Oreochromis niloticus: one gene and its partner. The protein of the gene in region 2 binds, or shares a complex with, the protein of the main gene of each other region. Links are inferred from orthologs where the notes say so. Each region holds a gene or a part of one and is shown on either strand. Other genes may lie near its edges.

Region 1 (12,490 bases), on a different chromosome or scaffold from region 2:
GGCTCCCGAAAAGGTTGCCGGTTCGATCCCCCTGCTCTCTCTGTCCTGGTCGTTGTGTCCTTGGGCAAGACACTTTACCCTACCGCCTACTGGTGTTGGCCAGAGGGGCCGATGGCACGATATGGCTCAGCGTACCCATAGCCTCGTCTCTCACATCTCTCCAGTACAGTATTTTAAGACAGGATTTTTTTTTCCGTAACTGTTTTTGGTATCAGCTCTCAAAAACACAAAGTGCACTTTAAATGTGACAGACCACTGTCTGCTGGACTGCTGAGACGACCAGAACAAGTGGGAAGAGTCTGAACCAGCACAAGAGATAGATCTAAATATGCTGTCATAATGTCGCCTGTGTTCATCAGAAAAAGTACTTTAATGTCACTCTGATCTGACTGAAACATTTCTCCCAGAAAAAAAATGAAGAGACACACTGTAGCGAGTCAGCAGCCCTCAGTCTGTTTTTTATCTTTCTGACATATTTTACCTGTCAGCTTGATAAAAGATGCAGAACTTCTGTCCCCTTTTGCCCTCCCCTGTCCTCACATCTCATCTCTTTCTGCTTCAGAGTGCCGTGTGTGTAGGATGGTGGTGGCAGAAAGCGGGTGAGTTGAAATAACGCTGCTCAACCTTCTGTGCTGTTTGCAGAGTATGTTAAGGGTTTCTATGGCAACTCACAACCTTGGAAACCCACCATCTAAGTCCAGATGAAGTGATGATGCAGTGGTCTGTGTCTGCCAAGTGTGTAGCTCACCTCTTTGTGAACCAGTCTGCTTAGTGTGCTTGTATCCAAGCGAGCGAATGAAGCAAATACATGGTTTTGTTGTGCATAAGTTAAAATAAAATACCTCCAAACAGATGTTGAGAAACCTGATTTACTCACCTGTAAAGGTGAGTGATGGAGCACTCTAAATATTTGATGCTGTGGCTATTTTCAGGAACATCTTGCATAACCGAAATTTTTAAAAAGCAATTTAAAAGTGAAACAGTCTCTGAGTTGCATGTTGCATAAATACTCGTCTTCCTCTGGAAGAGAGTGGAACTAATTTTAAAGGGCAGCGTTTGAGGATGCTTCATCTCATTCTCTACTTAAATCTCCTCCCTCTCATCCTCATGTTTAATTAATCGCTTTTATATTTTTAGATTTCCGGATGACAATGTAAGTCTGTCATGAGTTTCGAGAGATTCAAGGTCCATGACTCACTGTTAGAAGAGCATAGTGCCTCTGTGAAATGACAGCAACGATAAACAAGATGTCAGAAAGCCTACTGTGAATCAGATGTGAGTAGAGCATGCCACTGATTTTCACACATCAAAGTCTTACCAAAGAATGCTTTCAGCTTTTTTGCTAGAAGATGAATTATCTTGCATTTTATCTACTTTGTTTACTTTGTTATACTATTTTCTTTTAATGTTTCTCCACAGGATTTCTGTATTGAGAGGTGGAGAAGAGAGAGAGATTCATTTCCTGGAAACAGGAAATGAATCTGAATCTGAAACTTGAATACCTTTACAAGGTTTTACATATCCTTAATAGTGAAGAAGCTGATCATTAGGGTCCTATCAGGGCTCATGTGATGTGCAGCTTTTCATGTGCCAGCATTTAAACAGACTTTTCATTAAAATTTGCATCAAACTGTGTAAATATTTATCTTGAATTATTATTTTTAGTTAAATTGGCTCTTTTGTCAATCTAAATGGACCCACTGCTGATTTGACTGATGACCAGAGTCGTTACTTTCATGACTGTTTGTTGTTTCGCTCATCAAATGAATGAGAGTTTAGTGAACATAAGTTAACCAACTTGCAATGAAGATGAGGAAACTCACAGGATGAACACGGTGGTCTGTTGGGGAAAGAAAATTAGACACCTACTTACATGAATTGGCTTGTTTTTTAAATGAATAATAATGATAACACACACACACTCTGACACAAAAATGCAATGTGTTTGTGCATAAATCTGGTTTTCTATTTCACTTACACAGACATTATGGCTATGTAAGAAATGGAGTCGTGTGATACCATCTTCCATATTTTAGCCTGGAAGTATCAAACTACAAGTTACTGTGATTTTCAACCCAAATTATGACAAAGTTTCAATGACCATTGTTATTTTTAGACCAACATTTTTCATCATTTAAAATTTTACCCACATGTACCTTTCTGAAAATATCTACATGCATGCTTATACCAACAAATTTGCTATCTTTGTTTTTAAGTGTACTTTTGTCTTTTCGACTTTTTACATTTTTTGTCAAACCTTCTGTGGAGTTTAAAAGTGGAAGATGCTTTCAATCCTTGCATAATATTATTTTATGAATTTTAGGATGGTTTGATAAGCATTAGATGCATTATCTCTCTATATGTTAAGGTTGTTGTTTGTAGCCTAATGTACCAATGTATGTGACTTGAAAATATTTCTGGAGCAGCACTTGTTTCTGTTCTGCAAATTAATAACTAACTTGAATTCATATTTATGTTGGGCTAAAGAAGACTGTCTTAGTGTGCATCTACCCTTAACTAACAACCACTTGCATGGAAACTTTGACTCTGACTGCTTCCAGTTCAACTGGATGCCAATCCAGGAATACCCTTAAAGGCTCTTAGATGTAAAACTATTAGGGAGTTAAAGCATAGTCTCCTTTCCATTTAAATTAAGTACTATTTTAAACCTAAGGTGGTTAAGTCTAAGATAATTCCCCTCTTAAAATATCTCTATGTGTGTTAGATGTATAGATCTCTAGCTTAGCTTTGCAGTGATTACAAACTAGGCCTGGTTATGAGTTACCAGGTACACAACTTACCAAACCTTCACACAAAGGGACCTTACAAGCATGCCTGGTCATTGTTTGTAAAACACCTATCAAACTACAAGCATATTTTCAAGTGTGTTTCGAAGTTTTATTATAATAAATATACTTGATCGTATGTACATTATCTGAAACAGCAGTATATACAAACCTTCTATTCATGTTGCAATGTACATTCAACACTGTGCAAGAGAACCCTGAAAAGGAACATGAGCAGGCTTACAGTGAATGGGTGCGTTATTAAAAGACAGTGAACATCTCTTCGGTCCCAAGGCTCTCATCAAGCACATTGTGATTTGATGCAGTAAAGTAAGATGCAGGCCTATTACAATCTGGCTATACAGATTATTATGACGCATTTAAACGGTGCTGACAGGAGTGTAGAAGAGTGCAGATTTGATAACATCCAACCAGTGTGGTTTGAGGAGCAGAGATTAACTGTGCTGGCTTCCACTATAGTTTCAATAAGACAACCGTTCTTTAGATGTTTTTCCTGTTTGTTTGAGCAGATCTAACTTTTCTGAATGCAAAGCATCAATCCACAGAACATCATGAGAATAGTTAACCGTAGGCTACATTTCTGCTTGAGCTTTTCCACTAATCCACTTGGATTACGTGTTGTTTATATCATCCTGATGGCTAGACTCTGTCACGTAATTTTATGACCTTTTTCCCCACCCTCTTCCAAAAATAAATGGCCCACTGGCCCTCCCCCAAAAAATACTTTTTGTACCTCACTCCCATTATTTTCACACTTTGGCTATATTCTTCTAGTACATTTTAGCTTATCTAGTGCAATTTCTCACCTCCGCCAAATACATTCACAAATCCAGGAAAGCTTAATAACTTTTCCGTGTCCACATTATTTTTCAAGCCCAAAAAGACGCTCTTTCTCTTTCTTATGGGCCTGCAGAGTCTTACCGCTCCCTGGGCAGCTTCACAGGATGTCCATCAGGGTGGGCTTTTGGTTAGAAAGTTCACATATTGACAACCAAATAGCCTAGAACCAAGGCGACTATAACGATGACAAAGAATCCAATCACAGCGCAGATTGACGCAAAACCAGCCTCCCTGCTCCCTCCGCCACCTTCTTCTTCTTTGGGCTCCTCTTCGCAGATCGAGATGACACCCACGGAGGAATTCCCTACACTCATGTTGGACTTGAGCTCAGCGCCTGCCTCCTGCTTCGCCTCAACGGCCCACGGCGCCACCTGCACCTTCATCTCCATCTCTTCCATCATCTGGCTCACCTGGGTGATCTCGGCCTGCAGGTCTCTGAGGTCTGCCGTGTCGATATTGCTGTCCGCCTCGTACTTCATATTCTGCACGCTCATGGCCCGGGCCGCCACCGTAGTGGTGCTGCCGGTCATCCCTGTCTGGATGAGGTGTCTTGTGGGCACCTTGAGGGGGAAATCCTGTGCTATCTCTAAGGACCTTTTCATGTCCACCTCAAGAAGCTCCATGCAACTAGAGAACAGCACCCACAGGCGCTCGTACTCGGCCCGGTCCTCTTTGCTGATGGTCTTATCTTTGAGCAAAGAAGTCAGTTTAGTCCTGTTGGCCACCGCCAGCTCCTGGGCCTTTTTGCGGGTCTTCTTCAGCTCCTCTCGCAGGTTTTGCGAGTCCGAAGTGCTCCCAAGAGCGATGACCAAATGCCTGTAGCAGGCGGTCACTTTGTTCAAAGCGTCCAGCATTGTTTTGCATTCCTCTTTCCCCATGACTGATAAAAAAAAATCTATATCCTTCTTAGAAAATATGAAATGATTAAAAAAGAGGGCAGCTGCAAACAGCGCGCTTATTCGAGCAATGCTTTAGCCACTGACCTCGGTTTAGTTTCCACGGGAGCTCACCACCCGCTCTCCAAATCCACTCAACGCGCTGGTGAGAGAAAATTCCTCTCTATCCATGCTCCTTCCTGTGCAAGCAGATACAGAGAGTGGCTTAGAAATTAATGCGTCCGTAGCCTAAAAGGCTTTAGATTACCTTTGTGTTTTCCCACACGAGATCAAACGGCTCCGGAGCCCGTCTCCTGCAGGACGGATGCGAACGTGAAACAATCCAACCACCCTTTTATGAAATTGCGATCCCGATTCAGCCACAGGTGTCACAACATCCGCCAAACCGTTTGCGTAGAGAGCTCGGTGCCTTTTCCCTTCAGCAGCTTAAAATGTTCAAAGAAATTGCGCTGCCGGACAAGTTAGGTTCGCCATTCAGCGTCCGTGAGGAGCAAAGCGAGCCATTGTTGTTTTGGTTTGTTTTATCTGCATGAGGAGCTGTCCACTTCAGCACCCGATCGATGATTTTTAAATACCAGTAAGCGCCTTCTGTAGTCACATGTGCACGCACAACAGTGCTATTCAGCGACAGGCAGAGGCAGGCTGGGAAGCAAACAGCTTCACTCCCATTGGTTTTTTTTCACACAGGCGTTTGGTTTACATTCTTCATGCTATTGGCTGCACTGTCCGTGATGTGGGCAGAACTGCGATGTCTATCAGCAGAGAAGTCAAATCACAAACACCTTAACTCTCTGACAATACCATTGTCATCAGGGTCCCTGCTTATAGTCGGCTGCACGAGGAAAAATAAAGACTGGTCATCCCAGAGAGGAATATAAAATAAATAAATAAAAAATAAGATTGTTATTTATATCATTTTTACTTAAGTTAAACAATCTATACTTTTAGTATGAATTGTTTAAATGAATGGTTCTTTTCTTCCTCTTCATCCCAGATGGAACTATCCTCAGTCTGTTTCAGTGTTGCCTATTACTTCATCTTCACTGCTGGAGTCTAGACTAAAGAGCTTTCACTGGTACTCTCTCTCGTTCCCACAGTTCCCTTTCCATGGCCATAAAATAATCAAACTCTGATGCCCTGCAGTGTATATATATGTGGCTTGTAGACTTCCTGTGTTAATAGAGGTTATATTGCCATCAACATCAAAATGCACTGTAGTTTCAACTAAGCTGCAATAGGTAGCAGCACAGTGATAAATCTACCCTAATACATAATGTATGCCTGCCATCACTATGTTAGGAACTCTCCAACTTCTTGGTAAAGCCAATAACTAATCAGTCAATCCCATGGCAACAACTCACTGCATGTAGACATGTAGACATGGTAAGGATGACTTGCCTTAGTTCAAACTGAGCACCAGAATGAGAATAAAGGGTATTTAAGTGGTTTTAAATGTGGCATGGTTGGTTGTGTCAGATAGGTTCCACTGAATATTTCTGAAACTGCTGGTCTACTGAGATTTTCCCCACATAATCATCTCTAGGGTTTACAGAGAATGACCCAAAAAAGAGAAATTATCCAGTCAGTGACAGTTCTGTGGGTGAAAATGCATTGTTGTTGCTGAGGCCAGAGGTGAATGACCAGACTACTACGGGCTGATAGGAAGACAACGATAACTTGGTGGTAACAAATAAACACTTGTTACCACCAAAGTATGCAGAAGAGCATCTTTGATATTGAACCCCAAACAAATAGGCTACGGCAGCAGACAGAGCACACTGGGAGCTATTCATATTAGCTAAGGACAAGGAAGCAAGGTTAAAATTTGTGTGGGCTCATCAAAACAGGAAAACAGAAAACTCAAAAAACATCGTCTGGTCTGATGATTTGATTTCTGCTGCAACACTCAGAGATAGAGTCAGAATTTGGCATAAATAACACGAAAGGATGGATCCATCCTGCCTTGTATCAGTGATTCAGGCTCTTGATGGTGGTGTAATGGTGTGTGAGATATCTTTGGCACACTTTGGGCTCTTTAGTACCAGTTGAGCATTGTTTAAACGCCAACAACTTACCTGAGTATTTCTTCTGACCATGTCCATCCCTTAGTGACCACAGTGTACCTGTCATCTAATGGTTGCTTCCAGCAAGATAACAAGCCATGTCACAAAGATCAAATCAAAGTGGTTTTATTTTATTTTATTTACATATATTTTACATGACAGTGTGTTCACAGTCAGCGGACCTCGGTCCATTAAATCACCTTTGGGATGCATCATGGATGTGCAGCTGACATCTGCAACAACTGTGTGATGCTATCATGTCAATATGAACCAAAATCTCTGACACCTTAATCTGTGGAACAAAGAATCAGACAATTCTGAAGGCAAAACAGGCTTCCAACCCAGGATTAGCAACGTGTATCTGATAAAGACGAGTGTAGAGTGCAGTGTAGGGTGATACATTTGAAAAGCTGCTAAAAAAACCCACTACTGACGATGCTGCACCACCTTTTCATCAGCATATCAAAAATTTATAATTTTACAATACTAAAAATAACAGAATAAAAAATTACCATCAGTTTAACATGTATTGCACCATTGACCGTCACAGCTATGTGTAATCAGGTTCAATGAACACTGAAAGGAAACTCAAAACAAACTGATGATACCCTGATACCAAAAGATCTTTCATAAACTGACTAAACCTTCAGTCATATGTTCCTATAAAAAGATAAAACACTTTGTTTCTCCTGGTGTGTTATTCCATCTGATTTTGCAGCTAAGCTGATGTGATTACGAGACACAGGTTTGCAGAAATAGTATTCAGTTTTTCTCTCATGTGACTACTTGCTATTTTTTTCAGTTTCATAAGTGTGGTAAAAGTGGATAATTTGTGGGTTGTCACCGCAGCTGCCTGCACACTGGGAGGAGGCCTGTTGTTGCACGCAGTACTGGATGGATAATGTGTTGTTTAGTTGGCTCCTGCTGTGTTGAGAGATGAGAGGCACATAAGGCTGAGTGGTATTTGCCTGCTTTGCTCTTTTTGCATTATTCAAGCGGATGGGGCCTAATGATCCAGTGACTACAGTGCAAAGCTAATGGACTGGAGTGCAGTGAATGCCTGAGGAACTGAGTGAGAGGCTTATTGTTCGTTTCACATAAAATGACATCTGCTGTGGCATGGGAATTGATTTCTTCTGTTCAATTTATTCCTAGTTTGAAAACCATTTTTGCTCATATCACTCATTAAAAACATTATGCATACCCACGCCTCATATTTGATGGTTTATAAGGTAACTGTGGACTAACATCTGCAGATCCCCATCTTAAGATTACAATATGTGGCTCTGCTGTAAACTGCACTGTTTAATATATTTAAAGTGCTGGTAGCCATTTCAGCACTTTCTGACTAATAACAAATATCTTGGTTGAGTCAGATGATCTTGGCAAATGGATCGTCTTTCCTTTCATGAATATGTTTCCATGGCTACCTCTCACCTCTTACTACTCTTCGGTTATTTTTCTCCAAGGTATTTAATTGCTGACATTGCTCTGAGATGTCATCTTTCACTTTGTGCATTTAAAGTTACAAATCAGTTGTTTTCTGTTGTTTATTTCATGTTCTCATGAAATTGCTTAAGGAGCTAACTTTTACATAGACTAAACAAATAACTCAATTTCCATTTTCATTTCATGGGCTTTCATTAACTTATTTTGAGCTTGAATTTAAAGTGTAAAAAAATAATCAAAAATATCGGAATTCATTAAAAGATTAAAGACCATATGACTTCCCAAAAAACGTATAACTGGGCTAATGCAGACTTTATCACCTTTATAAATAACTGATGGCACGGTAAAGTAAGTCGGACTTGCAGGATTAGAAAATTGGCCATGGTCTCTGTCTGTCTACCTATCTGTCTTTCTCCTCTCCTGTAAAAAGGTTGCTGATAAGCTGCTGTGTTAGATTCAAGTGATGAGTCAGACATGCAGTGATCTGATTGCTCTCAGTGCCAACACATGATGGAAAACTCAATTTTTGATTTCCAATTTTTGTTTGCACAGGACAATAAAATGATATGGAAGCTCTCCAGATATTACTGTTGTTTTTACACAGATTATCTCTGTTTGTGTAACAAATGCAGTATCAGTAAATCATTAGATTATTTACACTGATATAGATCCCAAAGAAAAAGACACATATAGCAATTTTGTTTTGCCTGGAAGAGCTACACTGATGCACTAAGTACATACCATGATTCAGTAGCTTATAGAACTACCTTTAGCTCCAATACACTGAGTTGCTTTCTGTGTAACTTTATCTCTTGGATCGTTGTGGATGAATTTTGACACACTCTTCTTTAGAGTGTTGCTTCAGTACATTTATGCAGAGCTCTCTCAAGGTCCTGCCACAACATTTCATTCAGGTTGAAATCTAGACTTTGACTGGGCCATTACAACATCTTGATTGTTTTCCTTTTCCAGTCCCTCTGTTGTAGAGTTGATGTTTTGTTTGGGATAATTGTCGTGTTAGATGACCTAATTTTGAAACTGCTTTAGGCTGTCAGAGAGATGACCACACATTTGACTCTGTAATACTTAGGTGCACAGAGGACTTCATGGTTGACTCACTGACTGCGCCGTGCCCAGGTCTTGTGGCTGCAAAATAAGCCCAACTCTACACCACTGTGCTGACGGTTGGTATGAGGTGTTTGTGCTGACATGCTGTGTTTGGTTTTTGCCAAATGTGGCACTGTGCTTCATGGCCACAAATCTCCATTTTGGTCTCATTCTTTCAAATGATATTTGAATAGATGTATGAGTGTGTATTTGCCAGAGTATTTGGCAGGAAGGTTGTTCCAGGCTTTTTTTTAAAAAATTGCCATCTTTCCTTTTTGGATTCATGCTGCCTCCGGTGCTTCTGTCTTTTTATGTAGTCCAAATATCAATCTTTGATGTTGAGTTCAGGGTATTGTGGAGTCTTGTTCTTCTTGTGATTCTTGTGTTGCTGCACAATGAATTTAAACAGAAAAAAAAAATACCCCAAAGGTATTACACTGAATAACATTATAAACAGCTCAAAGCACAAATAATATTTGCAGTAGCTTTAAAGAGAGTCTCAACCTTGCAGCTATCTTCATGTTATATGCTTATGTTCTATACTTCAATTAAATAAGTAAAACTGGCATATTTGACATGATTTTTATCATTAAAAAGTAAATACACCAAAATGTCTTATTACAAAAGTATTTAGTCACTTACATCAGTACTGGCAGCTTTGAGTGTGGTTTTGACAGCTGGGTTTAAACAAGAAGTGCCTCTTAGTTTCTCTCTTCAGAGTTCTGCAGTGTTGTTCTACAGGCTGTAATTGCAGGCTCTGACTAGGTCAGTCAGGGACAGTATGACAGTTGTCCTGAAGTCACTCCAGTATTGTCTTGGCTACATGCCTCAGCTCATTGTGGTGCTAAAAGCTGAACCATTGCCCCAGTCTTAGGTCCAGGCTCTCTCTGTGCTGCACTGAGCCTTTGATGAGTCCCTCTGTCTCCTGCTGCTGTTGAGGCGTGGCTGTGTTCACAAATATTTGGGAAATTTGCCTCTTCTGCTTCCTCTCTGGCAGGCTCTGTAAGAAGTGTAATTTATCTTTTCTTAAACCAAATCAAGTAGCCAATACAAACTGTGAAAGGAAAAAAAACACACACATACACAACACATAACAAACTTCCATAAGGGAAAATTATTATTCCATTAGCAGAATTCACCAGAAAAAAATCTGACTAACAATATCAAAATTCTTTTCCATGGAGATTATTAGATTATAGTATATGACAGCATCAGATGCTAAATTACTCCAGTTTTAAATTTTCCCGAAATAAAATATAGTATATATGGAATGCTTAACTGAGAAATTTCATGCACCAAGAGCTAAGCATTAAAATAAGAGGCTCAAGAGGTTAAAAAGAGGAGGAATTTAAAAGGGAGGAAAACATCTTAGTATGTAAAGGAGACACAAATGGTGCTATAACATGATACAAATTCTATAATCCAGATTAGCGGTTTTCTACAGGTCCTGGGATTAGCAGTATAATGCTCACTAATGTATCTTTTAAAGAATGCTGATCTGTCTCTCTTGCATTTTCATCATATGGAATCAATGGTTTTAGGGAGGAAATGGAGGCCTCTGGTGCTCACTACACTTTGTGTGAGATGATGGTTAAAAGAGGACAGACATAAACACGGTTCCCCCCTGAGCTCTGATACTCTGACCAAACACATTAGAAGACTCTAACGTCTGTAAGCCCTTTGATAATCCCAGTAAAAAGCTCCAGCACTAACTGATATTTCCCAAATGACCAAATATGCTTTCTAGTTATGGCCCGCTTTAAGTTTGCACTAGTGCAGTCATCAATGTGACTACTTTTGTTAACATTTAAGTGACATCCTATTCTTAGTCCGTGGGGTTAACCCTTTGCAGATATAACAGTTTCAGCTCTTCTGGGAAGTCTTTCCACAAGGTTTAGGGGTGCGTTTATGAGAATTTGCATTTGTGAGGTCAGAAACTGATGTTGGACAAGGACTGGCTCCCAGTCTCCTCTCTAATTCATGCCAAAGGTGTTCTCTCGGATTGAGGGACTCTGTGCAAGCCAGTCAAGTTTTTCCACACTAAACTCACGCATCCATGTCTTTGTGGGCCTTGCTTCCTACGCTGGTGTGCAGTTCCCAGTTCCAAAACTGTTCCCAGAAAGATGTAAGTGTTAAATTGTCCAAAATGTCTTGGTATGCTGAAGCATTAAGAGTCCTTTTCAATGGAACTAAAGGGCGAAGCCCAGTACCTGAGAAAAAACTCCATTGTCATGGTTCCCTTCTCTTCCTGGTTTGAGATGTCCTTCTCTCTTTCTCTCTCTCTTTTTTCTTTCAGTTCTGCGTTGTCTTTCAGACGTAACGTGTTTCGTTGCGGCGATCACATACCTGAATTTAGCACCCAATCACACACCTGCGGGTTGCCGGACCAATTACACTCTGGCAATTGGAAACTGGAGATTCTTCTCAACTGACACCAGATCACTGCATCGCTAGCAGTTGAACAATACTTTTAATCAGTATTGCAAGAATCAGTGTTTGTGCGTTCCTTTACGCCTTTCCCTCTCTCTCCAGAGCACTTTCAATGCAGAGTGGAAAAGGGGATATTGGACCAGCACGGGAGAGTAGCTCAATGGAGACAAGAATGCTTATGGGGTATAACTTTCCAGCCTCCACCTAAGAACCTGTGTTGAACGCTGTATCATAATAAAAAAAAATTATTCAACTTATTTCTGTGCTCTCCACTTTATACCGGGATACCCACGGACTTAACATCCACACCACGATCCCCTCTCAACCAAACCTTACTTTTAGCACACTATTACTGTTCCTTTGGCAACCACCAAACCCAGACTCATCCGTTGGATTGCCAGATGGAGAAATGTGATATGTCACTTCAGAGAGCACATCTCAACCACTCTACAGTCCAGTGGCACCAAACTTTATACCACTCCATCCTAAACTTTGGGACAGTTGTTATTGCCCATTGAATTGGCACTATACAAATAAAGTTGAACTATATATATATTTAAGAAGATATTTATAATCCTTTTCCGATAATATCCTTACAGAAAACCTCAGGAAAAGTCTTACTAAACTGTAATATCCCAGTGAGCTTGTATGTCGTCACAATATCATCTCTAAAATCCACTAAACCACCACTCATTTCATTGCTTTTTATAATGACAAGGGTCTTACACACCCATGTAGCCCTATACTCACTTGAGCTTCTTTTTTTTCTTAACTTTGCAGCTTGGTCTTTTAATAGCTTCCAATGTTTGGCATAGAAGAAGGTGGAAAATAAAAGCTGTATGTAGAATTAGGAAGATTCAGTCACTTAGAAAAAGAGGCAGAGCACAGAGGGGAATAA
Region 2 (12,738 bases):
GCATGTGTGCTTATATTATCTCATGTTGTGGGGACATAAATGTGTTTATATAATCACATAGTGAGGCCCAGCTCCTTTTGGTGGCAAAAAGCCATTCCCATTCACGCAAATCATAAAGGACTTAGTGTAGTGACGGCTAGTCTAAGTCTTCAAATATAAATTCACAAACGTCTTTTGTAGTGATGGAAACATGCCTGTGTGTGTTCTCACCGGAGGTCTGTGAACCACCCAGTAGGCTCTCTCCTGACAGTCAAACACCACACGGTCCGGTTTCTTTCTCTCCTTAGCAGCTCTAAAACCCCACCCAAACACAGAGAGTCATGACACATTGTTACCCTTAACGCTTCCCGACATCACTGAGCTTCCTGCACACCCACCTATACTGTTCTTTAGCTTGCATCACTATAAAATCCCATTTATGATTCATCCACTTGTGAAGACGGTTGTACTGCTCCTGAGGACATAAAACAACACCTCAGTAAATGCCAACAGAGAAAATTAATTGCCGTGGGATTCATGTCCAATTCTCACCTGCTCGTGCAGCTCCAGGATTCCTTTCTTACGTATGTTTCTTTTTGCCAGGTAGATTGCTTCCGTAACAAAAACATAGATGGGTGTTAACGGTAAGTGATTCTTGGTAACAGGATGCATTCAGATACACTCACCATAATCTGTATCCTCAACAGGCCACTGCTGTGTGGGCCAGAAATATGGTGTCTGCAAACAACGGAGGGCAGAGGTGATGATTAGCAGTAAGCGTTTTTGTGAGTGGGATTCATTTCTTGCAGATTTGAGGGTGTTTTTTGTTGGTTGTTTTCAATTTGCAGTCATTCAGGAAACTAAAGCCAGACTAATTTGGGGTTTCACATCATAAAATAAATAGGACGGAAATTGGTTTTACCTCGCTTTAGTGGTTTTTGTGTCTTGTAATGGTAAACTCTTTTATAATCTAATCATTACATGTTACAGCAGTGATGCTAAACCCATTACAGAAGATCTGGCACATGCCGCTTTCTGGAACCAATTTACCAGTGGGAAATTACCATGGTCAATAATGTTGATAAAATGAATCAGCTAATATATTAAAAATAACAAGTGAGTGCAAAATTAAATATGTATATTACACTGTAAAAAATATCTCTCAAAACACTAAAAATATCCCGATAATTTTCTGACAGTAAATTCTAATTTTTGCCAAAGTGTATGGGCATTTCTATGTATTGAAAAAATGCAATACATAGTGAAAAACATCCGTAAAAAGTAATATGGAAAATTCCTTTATTTTAAAAATGGTGAATGTTTTTACAAAGATGTTTGTTTTTATTTTAGTGTAGGGCCTTTCTGTCAATTTTTGTTAAAGAACAAAAAAGTATAAAAAAATGCAGCACTGTTTTAAACTGAAGGAATTTTCCATTTAATTTTTACACATTTTTAAAAAGAAAGGTTTCTCACATTTTTACATTTCTGCATAAAAATGAAAAATGGAAAAACTTCCAGAAAGTGCATGATTTTACTCCACAAGGCTCAATCAGCCTTTTCTTTTTTTAACCTTCCATGGCTCTGCATTTTTATTTTGAACTTACATGATATACCAACATAATTATTCTTAGAAGATGCTATGTGCTCAGGCTAAGAGACACAGCAACTTTCTAACCTTCACATCAAATGAATTTGATGTACTGATGTGTTTTTATCACAATCTTTTAGGCTTTGCACCTAATAAATTAGCAACTGCTCTGTCCTTTTCTGTTTTCTTATAAATAAACAACAGTCACACTTAAATGACCTTTGCAAGCACTTCAGTTTACATCGCATTTGTGCATGAGTTGTGGAGTCACTAGATAGCAGGAACAGGACTGCACACTATGCCACATTAGTGTTTCTGCATGAGTATGTGCATCCCTTTTGCATGTTAACAACATGCAAAAACACTGTTCAGTGTGCAGCAATGAAAACTAAATCTTCCCATAGCCAGAAATATTGTTTTGGAAGATCGTTTGGCTTTGCTGCAGCTGAGATTTTGGCTAAGCTTTAAAATGTGGTGTGTTTACCTGGAAGCGATACAGGGATGCATCTGGTTTGACTACTAAACGCTTGTGGTCTTGTATAGGGTAGATGTATCCTAACGCCACCAGCATGGAGCCAAAACTCCTCGCCTCTGAATAAAAAAGACAGATTTGCTATAAATGAGGTTCTATCACTAATTTTCACTGTCAGCTAACATGATAACATCCTAAAACTGTCTTATTTTTATGAAAGCACACACTTTGAACTGGGATGGCATCAGCTGCCTGATCTCTCACCTTGTGCATCGATTTGGAATCTGTCTGCTAACCACGCAACTATGTCTTCACCTGAGGAAAAAGGACTCAAGGTCAGAAGTAACAAAGGATCTATGGAAATAAACAACACTAGTCAAAAGGGCAGCTTGAACAGCAAACAACTTTAAATATACTGTATGTTGTTTATGTCCATCAGTGCATGCCTGTAAATGCCAGACAGCTAATGTGAAAGAGAGACATGGAAGGAGAAAAGGGAGGAGGAGGAGAAGGATGACAAGTGAAGAAGAGAGAAAATGACAGAAAGGCAAAGGAAAGAAACAAGAGGAAGAAAGAAGCTAGGAAAGGAAAGGAAAGGAAAGGAAAGGAAAGGAAAGGAAAGGAAAGGAAAGCTTGTGAGATGAAAGAAAGGGAGAAAGGGGAAGGAAAAGGAAACAGGAAAAGCAAAGGAATCAGAGATGGAGAGAAAACAAAACAGCAAAGAAAGTGAGAGGGAAGTGGAGAGAGCAGCAGAGAAGAAGCCTTTGGTATGTTTTCATTCATTCAGCTGCGGGCATTCAAAGCTTGCGGGTGACGTAGAAGTCTGGGTTCCCTCTCTTCTCCTCCACCACCTACTGCCTGCATTTCTCTTGCTTCGGTCTCTACATGTTTGTTTCCTCTCGCCTGCTCAATCATCATCCTCCTCCTTCACCTCCTACTTTTTCCCTCTCTCTGTCTCTGAGACCATGGGGTTGTCATGGAGATGAAATCTGTAGCTCTGAGTTTGAGCCCAACGCCGTGGTATCCTCCGGCGAGGTTGTGCAGGTACAGTCACTCAACGAGCCGCTGGATAATAATCAAGCCACTGTAGTGTATGTGAGAGTGTGTGTCCACTTTACCAGTAATAGCATGTGGTATTGTGGTGATAACCAGTCTCTGAGGCTGTAGCTTCACTCCCGTTGCGGGGTCCTGCATCTCGAGGACCACCTTCTCCGCCTGCACAAAAAAAGCCCGTGAGGAGGTATCACATCAGAGCTCACAGTGTAGGTTTCTGGGGCAGCAGATTTGATTGTAAATCCTAAATTTTGATCAGTGAAATTCACATGACGGTGATGATGATCATTAGTGTAATCTCGAGCATGCACAGCATCACCGTTAACCTCTTTTCTACTTAATGAAAGGGAGAGAAAGCTGCATTAAACTGCGTCTCACTGATTAAAAAAGGGCAAATTTCCCCCCTGGGATGTTATGGCTCGCTGTGTAAGCTTGTAATTAATACTTCCTATCAGACGAATGCCGAATGATTCGGTTACTGTGACTCTCCAAACAACTGTTCAGCTTTTTAGTCCAATGACTGGATTACAGTTTTAATGCTGCATTAGAAAGTGGTGAGAAGCGAGATGACGGGATTGTTTCAAGCCTTGATCTCATGGCTTTTGTTTGGCTTGTGTGGGAGGTTTGCGATGACTCACTGCCCTCTAAACAGTTTTTCAGCTATCATACCATCTGATCCCAGAGCTCCCCCACAACTTAGGTGTGTACGGAAGAGGAAGAAATCCTGTAGTACATTAATTCACTTTATGTGTATGTGTATGTGTGTGTATGTGTGAGAGAGAAAGAGAGCGAGAGTGTGTTTGTAGCTGACTCCTGGCTCTTTTTGAAGTGGCTTTGTGCTTTGAAGTCAACCTGGAGAGGCTATAAGCCCCAGACTGAGCTGGACCAAAGTGGGCTTTCATTGACCAAAACACAAAGTTCTCCAGAAAATGGATTCTGTGTGCATTCCCCTGGAGAGAGGGGGACACTGTGTGAGCACTATATCTGGAAGCTCATGTCTTGATTATTTCCTTCCATTTATTATTTTTTTCTAATGCTAAAACATTCTCTTTGGTGACCATCCAACTGAATTTTAAATATGAGATGATGAATGAAGGACTGCTCTGGCTGGCCTCACACACACACACACACAATTCACACAGCGCCTGGATTAACTTCTTTCCAGCAGCTGGCTGGTGTAGATGGAGGTATTGATACTGATCCAGGCCTAATGCTTATTAAACAGAACGACCTTATCACAGTGAAAAGGTTGAAACAGAACACAGTCTGACAGCTATATAGAGTGTAAGGGGGAAGCTGACATGACATCTGATTTACAGTATGTTGACATCATTCTGAAACATGAGTATATGAATAACATCTCTAATAACCCTTAATAACTAAAGTCCATATTATTAAAGAAATGCATGTTTGCTATTGGGTTTCCCTAAAGCTTGGTGTAGTCCAAATGATACCTGTGGGTTTTAATGCTTAACGGAATGACCATCCTTAATAAATCTATACAATGAAAGCATTGGGATTTCCAGAGAATATTATAGATTATTATAGTGCAAATGCCAACAACAGCCTGGGTTTGTGAGGTTCCTGCAGACCACTACAGTCCAAGCATTGCGTTAGAGAATTTATACAAGTCACTAATGATGCGTCTGCTGCAGGTATAATCTATAAGCCTGTGCTCTGGTTTACATCATCTAATGTAAGCTGTGTAGCCCACCTTTTTGAGACAAGCCATCCGTGGTCGGTACCTCTGTCCATGATCCCGGAGAACGTTTCGGATGGTCATGTTGTCTGATGCTTTGCACCTCTCTCTCTCACACACACACACATACAACACTGCTGCCGCCTGTGAGAGCCCTGTGTGTCGTGTGGGGATGCTTGAGGGGAAGTGCAATACTGATCGATGGTGATGTTGCCTTCAAATGTTCCCCCCTAAACCTCTTACTTGGAAAAACGGAAACTGTTAATGTGCTATTAATTTATCATTTTTAAATTGAATTAGGATTAAATTACCCGTATGGCACTTCAGGCATGTAATAAAAAGTTGACAGCTCCAATAAGAGTGACAGAGAATTGTCTAAAATAGGTTTAAGTAATTGCAATGTGAAGCCGTTTTAGTTAAATATAGGCAATAATTTAGTGCTCTTTATGTCATCAATGCCATAAAAGCACAGACAGAAGGTCAAATACATCCACTTTCACAAAACCAAGGTTTTTTCCGTCAAGATTTCAAATTTTATTGATCTGCAGCAGAGCGTTCAAGTGCAGATAGCAATATTTCCTGCAGTCTCTGAAAGCAGCATGTCTAAAAGTGTGAAACGAATCAACCAATCGGAGCGCGTCTTTTTTCAACGTGTTTTTATACTGCACCAGTAGAGGGCGACATGCCACCACCGGTCAAATCTCCTTTTTTCCTTCATATTTATTTTAATGTTAATTATGAAAACTGTTTTTATTTTATTTTTTTACTTTAATTATAGCCGTTAACGCCTATTAATTCTTTTTATAGTGTATCAGGCAATTGGACCTCTAGAACTTTAAAATGTATTCGCGTGTAATTTTCATTATGCTGCTTATAAAGTTATTTCTGTGTGTTTCAATTCAAACGTAGCTACGGACAATATTGCGTGTTTATGTGAGGCATATCCGCGTAAATAGCACAGTAGGCTGTGCCTTAAGATTGATGGTAAACAGTCAGCAGCGGTACTTCCTGAGTTTAGGGAAGGGGCTTGGTCCCGTGCCTGCGCCCGAGAACGCGCATCAAATTAGCATCGATGAAGTTTGTGCGAACATGGCGGATTTCCTGCCGACCAGGTCCGTGTTAAAAGTTTGTCTACCCGTCTGCCTGCTTAACAGCGGCGAGGTGGAACAGCTGAGAAAGTCCAAAGAGATCGACAGATGTCTCTCCAAGGAGAAAACGTATGTAAAACGGCTGGTGAAGATCCTGCTCCTCGGCGCTGGCGAGAGCGGCAAGTCGACTTTCCTCAAACAAATGCGGATCATCCACGGCCAGGACTTCGACCAGCACGCCCGAGAGGAGTTCAGAGCAACGATTTACAGCAATGTTATCAAAGGTAACCTCGCTACCGAGGGCTGGTAACTTTAAGGGCGTGAAAATCGCCCTTTTTACTCGGTTAAAAGGTACTGGAAAGTTTCCACATCTGTTTAGCAGCGCTGGGCTGGGTGAGAGGACACATAAACAGTCTACATCTGCTCTCGGCACACCCATAGGAGCCTCGTTTGTCCTGAAAGCTTAAATGTTTTTTAGGGGGTTATTTCAGCATAGCTATACTAAATACAGCGAATCAAGTTTTTGTGATATCTTTAACCAACACTACCCGCTGTTTTAAATCAGCTACAGGCAAGTTTTGTTGCTCAATAACTAAGCTCGGGATGAAGCTAATGGAGGGCAACCCGCCAGTGTAATGTGCTGTAAGGTGTTCCTCTTTGTCCACGGACTGAATGAAAGAGAAATCTTTACGTTGGTGTAGTCCACGTTAAACAAAATCGTCTGTAAATACCAACAAGGCTCAACCGTCGCTTTTTAATAGTCACAAAATTGTGTATAACCCGACAGTTATTTCGGCCATTTTCAAAGTAAGGTGTTGGTGTGACCAGCACATCCTGTACATTTTTTTTTAATGAATAAACAGTCAGTTTGAAATAAATGTAAATAATAACTGTGAATACAGGAATTTCCCCGGCTTATAATGTGGTTTTGAAGCTTGATTGGTCATACTTTATCGAAGGTTTTGAATTTTCTTGTTATTTCTGATCATTACATCAGGAAAAATGTGCTTTATTCTTGACTGAATGAAAGCTCAGTTAAAGAAAAATTGGTAGTGATGGTTAGCACAAGGTGGTGATTTTTTTTTTCCCCCCTTTGAGGGGAGGCTAAGACCTCTTTGGTGGAAATTTTGTGTAAGCAGGAAAAACCCTGAAATCTGTGTAGTAACAGGGTTATGTTAATCATGTGCTACCTTAAAATCAACTCTACTTTTTCTTGCCCCACTAGCATTTTTTTGTATTTTATTCATTTTTTTTTTAGACACAGCAGGCCTCTAAAGGACACAGGTGTTGGGTTACTTTTGTTTCACCTGCCCTTCTCACTACCCTCTTCCACTTTTAAGTTGCCGTCTGACTTCCTTTTCCAGGTATACGTGTGCTGGTGGACGCCCGCGAGAAGCTGCACATCCCGTGGGGTGATGAAGACAACCAGCCACACGGCGACAACCTGATGGCATTCGACACCCGCTCGGCAAAGATGACCAGTGGGCAGCTTGAGACATCGGTTTTCCTGGAGTACCTGCCCGCCATTAAGGCCCTGTGGGCAGACTCGGGCATACAGAACGCCTACGATCGGCGCAGGGAGTTTCAGCTGGTGGGTTAGCACACGCACAGACACACCCACACACACACACACACACACACACACACACACACACATATGCTGAAATGGCATAACTGACAGATAATGGTGGCCTAGTTTTGTCTGATAAAAACGTCCTCAATCTCAGCTCTCTATCACCAGGTGCAAGAAGGGTTTTCTGGTGTTTCTGAATGGGTTTTTCCAAAAAGTCATATTGATGAAAATGGCAGTGAAAACAGAAAGTGAAACTGACTTTTCAATTCATCCTCCCTTTCCTCTCTCCCTGCATCTTCGGCTCTAATTCTTTAGTCTCTGGTGCTCTCTCTGTGCCGAGTGGTCAGACATGTGATTCAATAGGCTTCCTGTTTACACCTCTCCCAGCTGCTTATATCTTTTGGCTGTCAGTGTGCACGTCTTAACTCTGTGACGTTTACCCCAGAATAGCAGATGTGGTCGGGAGTGCGTTCACATGTCCTTTCTGGGCTGTTGATATGCTCTTATTTTATCTTTTATTACCGTAACTTTAGGCTTCTTTTTAAAAATGACCAGCTGTCAGGGATTTTCCTGACTCAAAATAAGCCTCTTTTTCCCATGAGTGTGGCTTTACAGTTAAGGCACTGATTGTTTTACCTGATTTGACAGAAATCTGTGTATTCTGGCAATTAGTAAGCAAAAGAAAAAAAAATGCGTCAATTTTATCCAAGTAAATAATCCCCAATTAAGAAAACAGTGTGTTTATCACAAGGCTGGTGATTTTCCTGTGGCTCTTGCCAAAATGTTCTCTATACAGGAATAACCCTGATTGCCCTGCCTTCATGTGACAAACTTAAACACTTCAGCAGTTAAGGGGCCCCCCAACTGAAGACAGAATAAGGGCTGCGCGTCTCCGAGTGGCTTTCAGTAATGAAAAGCAGAAAATTACAATTTGCCTGTGGGTTGGATAAAACCAAACTTTTCTCAATGGCGTTTTGTTGCTCTGGCACACACACACTCAGCTTGTTGGTGCAAACCTTTCCAGACAGACAAGGGGAATAAGTGTGATCAGAGCAGGAATGTTGATCTGTAGTTAAACAGCTTTATGCTTACAAACAGATCCCTGGCTCTCCCACTCAGGGTTATTTGCACACAAACACTAAGAGTGTCGCACACCTCGCGTTACACAAGGTCACACACACACTAACGTGCATAACCTATCTGTGTAAGAGTGTAAGTATTTTATTCATGTATTCATTTTGCAAGTTGGCAAGTTCCTTTTTTCCACCCGCCCACCCCCGAAATCTTCAAAAGCATTAATTATCACGGAAAACATTGCACCTTTTAGACTTTTGAAGCTGGAGCTGTGCATTTAATAATGGAAGTGAGCTGTCACTTGGACTGATCATTCATATAAACACACAATTGTGACTCATTCGGTGACAGTAGTAAACGGAACAATGTAAGCAGCCTGCTATGGAAACAGCCTGTAACTGAAGAGCGGCAGGATCGCTAAAAGCCTAACTAGCTGTTCAGTTACTGGACGCTAGGTGTTGGTATCACAGAATCACTGTAGCCTAAGTGTGCTGCGAGGCGATCATCTGCGATACATCACAATATCTGTGAAAACGAAACAAGTAAAAACGCCCACGAAAAAGCAGGAATCATACATTTATATTCTCCACTGTGGTGGTGGGATATGTGTATCATCATTAGCAGTTCACTTCAGAGCTTTATGTGGCTTATAATGGACCCCTGTGGGGGTGACTAGCTATGTAAGTGCATATAGATATGGCAGTGAGTCTGTGTGAACTTGCTTAACACAGGTCATAAGCACTGCGGCAACTGAAACTGGCGAGGGAATCCGGGTGAAATCGCCTACATGTGTTGATAAAGATATTGATACCGCAGATGGAAGCCATACAAAATATATTGTCCCATCCTTATTTCACGTGTGCATATGTTTACAGATTAAAGCTCTTTGAATTTTGGCCGATTGGTTGAACAAAGCAAATAGTAGGTCACCTGTCACTTCGTCCCACTCTGGAAAATGAGGTGACATTTTATAGACTAAACAATTGATCAGAAATAGCTTTGAGCCTTTATTTGTTGTGTAATATCAGTGGAGGGTCAATGGAACACAGACACAGGGCTACACACTCTCTCTCTCACACACACACACACACACACACACACACACACACACACACACAATTACATATTACTGTACAGCCAAGACAGTTAGTTTATAAAAAAATGACATTTTTAAGTCATATGTGACAATTAATTAAGTGCTCTAGGGTACAAAGTGAAACAATATTTGACTTTAATTTTAAAAAAGCATTATTTTAGGATCAAAAAAGTCTCTGTATATGTATTAAAATCAATGTATGTACAAAACAGTGTAGTTTTTGTCAAATATCCATCTTTTATGAAACCAACCACACATTTTGAAAAGCAGTAGGGATGTTTTTTTTTTTTTTTTTGCCTTTTCTCTTATATTAAAATAAACTTAATATTGTTAGATGCTTGAAATGAAACTGGATATCAATTGCAAGCTTACACAGTGTACAAAACTTTAATATTAAGTTTTAATGGTGAGTACACTGTAAACCCTGAGGGCAAAAGTAATTCTGTTGGGAGCCGTTAAAATTTCTTTCCTTCTCTGAGAAGAGATTTGTTTCATTTCCAGCGGATTACCCAGAATCCCCTCGTGTTGACCGTGCTCCATTTAAGCATTTGCATCACAAATCGCACGTGCCTTCAGGCTTGGTTGTAATTATCATGTTTAAAAAAGCACACACACACACACACACACACGTAACGCTGTGAGTATGCACATGGCTTCTCTCACTTCCTGCAGTGCAGACGTCAGTGTTACTCTTTACAATAGTCTTAATCTTTTCATCTGAGATTCATAGTATTAGAATTATTTAGTCACATCTTCCTTTAATGTAAGTGTCGGTTCAGATGACATATTGCTGAGTTTCAGTTTTGCTTCTGCAGGCGTTGTCATGCCTCAGCAGGGAGAACGCAGAGTGATTGCGCTTCTTGTTTCTCTTCTCCTTTTTAAAAAAAAAAAAAAAAGAACGGGACAAAAAATCTGACTCGATTTTTGATTATTTCAAAACCAACCAAACCCTTCTTAGTTATGAGCTCCTTTTACTCGGGCGGAGTCAGATATGAAATCAGAAAAGTAGCTTTTTCTTCATTTAACTCTAGTAGAGCGCCACACCATTGGGCTCCTCCCTTGGGTAATCCTAGCCATGCACATACACACACAGACATGCACACACAATCACAGGTTTTTCAGGTCAGGTTAGTTTTTTTTTTTTTTTTTCCCTCCCCTAAAGATCAAAAGGTGACAAGAAGAAGAAGCTGGGGTGGGTAATGCTGGTACATGGTGGTAAGAGAGAAATACAACCTGGTCGCTGCAACTGGGAACATTTAAATGCTTATTGTGTCATTAATGCAAAATACATGCAAAAAACAAAACAAAAATCCCCTGTGTGAGTGTAGTGCGTTGCAGTAGAGGCGCTGCAGGTCACAGGAAAGACGATGGGTTAAATCTGTTTTTCTTTTTGCACGCGGTATTTTGGTTTACGTCGAGTGCAGGACCTGCACCAGCTCACAGATAAAGGAATGCATCTCAGTCCTGGCAGCCCCGTGTCTGGACTTGCACTGCCTGCATGAAAGCAGTGTTGAAAAGGTCTTGGGGAAAAAACTCAAATAAAACACTTCTAACCACGCACACACACACTAACCAACACTTCTGTATACATCAAAGACACACTTAGAAACACGTGTCACAGTCTGACTAAATAATGCGCATCCTGCCTCAGTACCTCAGAACACACTCTGTTCTGGGGCAAACACGGGAGAAAGAAAAAAGTCAGGTTACCTCTGTCTGTGTGGTAGCTAAACACTCTCCCCACTGGTATCTCGGCACCTTTTCCACTTGCAAACATATTGCTGTAAAATGTTTTCTGCTGATTGTGGTAAAAATGACAGAACCTAATTAATTGTGTAGAATTAACAGAAATTCCTCCTCTGTCCTGTCGCAGGGTGAGTCAGTGAAGTATTTCTTGGATAATCTGGATAAGCTCGGCGAGCTGGTAAGTTGTTTCTGCTTGTACTCTCTGTGATAATCAGACTTGTGCATGTTATAGTTAATACTGCAACATGTCCAGACAATTAATGGTTAGCTTAGAAATGACTAAGGCGGTTGTTTGCCACAGATAATGTTGGCATTTTGTGAAAGAAGCTCCTTATATTTAATTAAGCTCAATTTTTTTTCAGGTGTATAAAAGTTTAGTTAAAAAAAACATCAAGATGAACACAGTAAGCAAGTTCAAACAGTTTATAAACCCTTAATAGTCTAAACTCCAAAACTTGAGGGCGTTATTGAGAGTAAATCAGGGTTTTTCCTTTATTAACATGAGAGATATTTTAACCGCTCCCAACTGAGTCTTAACAATACTTCCTTTTTTCTAACATCAGCATGCTGGAAGTTGAATTGTTTTTCAGATTTCTGTGCATCATAAACACATCCTTTTTACATTGAGGACATTAAGTGCTTATACTTGTACTATTATTTACAAACACACATGCGTATGCTAACATCTACAATCTTACTGTCTTTATGAGGTTTGTATGCGTATGTTTGTTTTGTAAATTTAATTACACTTTTATTACCAAGGTTGTGCTTACAGGTGGTGTAAGCACAAAGGCTGCTGTATTCTTTTTGATGCGTCTTTCATGTTGTGCTCTTCAATACAGCCACCTTTCGTATGAACTCGATACATAAAGTGCAGCCTTTTCTACTCATTTCCAGCACCACCTTTTTAGACTCTACTAGAGTGGCTTTGCATGATTCATAGTTAAAATTAATCCTTATACTGTGCTCACTCAGATCTGTGTGTCTGGGATGACAAGATTAAGGAGGTGCCACATCTTGGTGACGTCAACCAGAGCTAGGAGAAGAAAAAAATGCCATGCCATTGTCATGTTTACTGCAAGCTTCCATCATATCAGTATACATATCACAGAAAATGGACAGAGGCTTAGCGGCTTCACTTTATATGTGTTTGAATGAATATAATGTTGCATGCACACACATCCTCATAGCTTTTGTAAATGCTATGAAGCTAAAAAGCTAGTTTTGTTTCGTGTGTTTCTGTAGGGGGGTGTGTATGTTAACTTCACTCCTGTGGCTGACCTCAGGCTTTTTTTGTTTATTATAGAAATACATGCACACACAGTTGCAAACCACAGTGTTCTCATTACAAATGAGCACATTTTGAATGG

What was found.
Region 1: regulator of G-protein signaling 9 (region 2) and regulator of G-protein signaling 9-binding protein share a complex: the UniProt entries of both Homo sapiens proteins name them as parts of the RGS9-1-Gbeta5 complex. The link is inferred for Oreochromis niloticus from reciprocal best matches to the Homo sapiens genes RGS9 and RGS9BP.

Annotation. Positions count from the first base shown.
Region 1 is NC_031965.2:26,981,284-26,993,773, reverse strand, and holds regulator of G-protein signaling 9-binding protein, read right to left. Parts: upstream 5,201-12,490; 5' UTR 4,526-5,200; coding exon 3,785-4,525; 3' UTR 1,039-3,784; downstream 1-1,038. UniProt on the Homo sapiens protein: Regulator of G protein-coupled receptor (GPCR) signaling in phototransduction. Participates in the recovery phase of visual transduction via its interaction with RGS9-1 isoform.
Region 2 is NC_031973.2:8,864,951-8,877,688, forward strand, and holds the start of regulator of G-protein signaling 9, read right to left. Parts: upstream 5,035-12,738; 5' UTR 4,876-5,034; coding exon 4,807-4,875; intron 3,255-4,806; coding exon 3,158-3,254; intron 2,355-3,157; coding exon 2,304-2,354; intron 2,159-2,303; coding exon 2,052-2,158; intron 718-2,051; coding exon 666-717; intron 591-665; coding exon 532-590; intron 455-531; coding exon 378-454; intron 293-377; coding exon 211-292; intron 1-210. Other genes in the region: guanine nucleotide-binding protein subunit alpha-13, read left to right, coding at 5,881-6,163, 7,244-7,470, 11,496-11,546. UniProt on the Homo sapiens protein: Inhibits signal transduction by increasing the GTPase activity of G protein alpha subunits thereby driving them into their inactive GDP-bound form. Binds to GNAT1. Involved in phototransduction; key element in the recovery phase of visual transduction.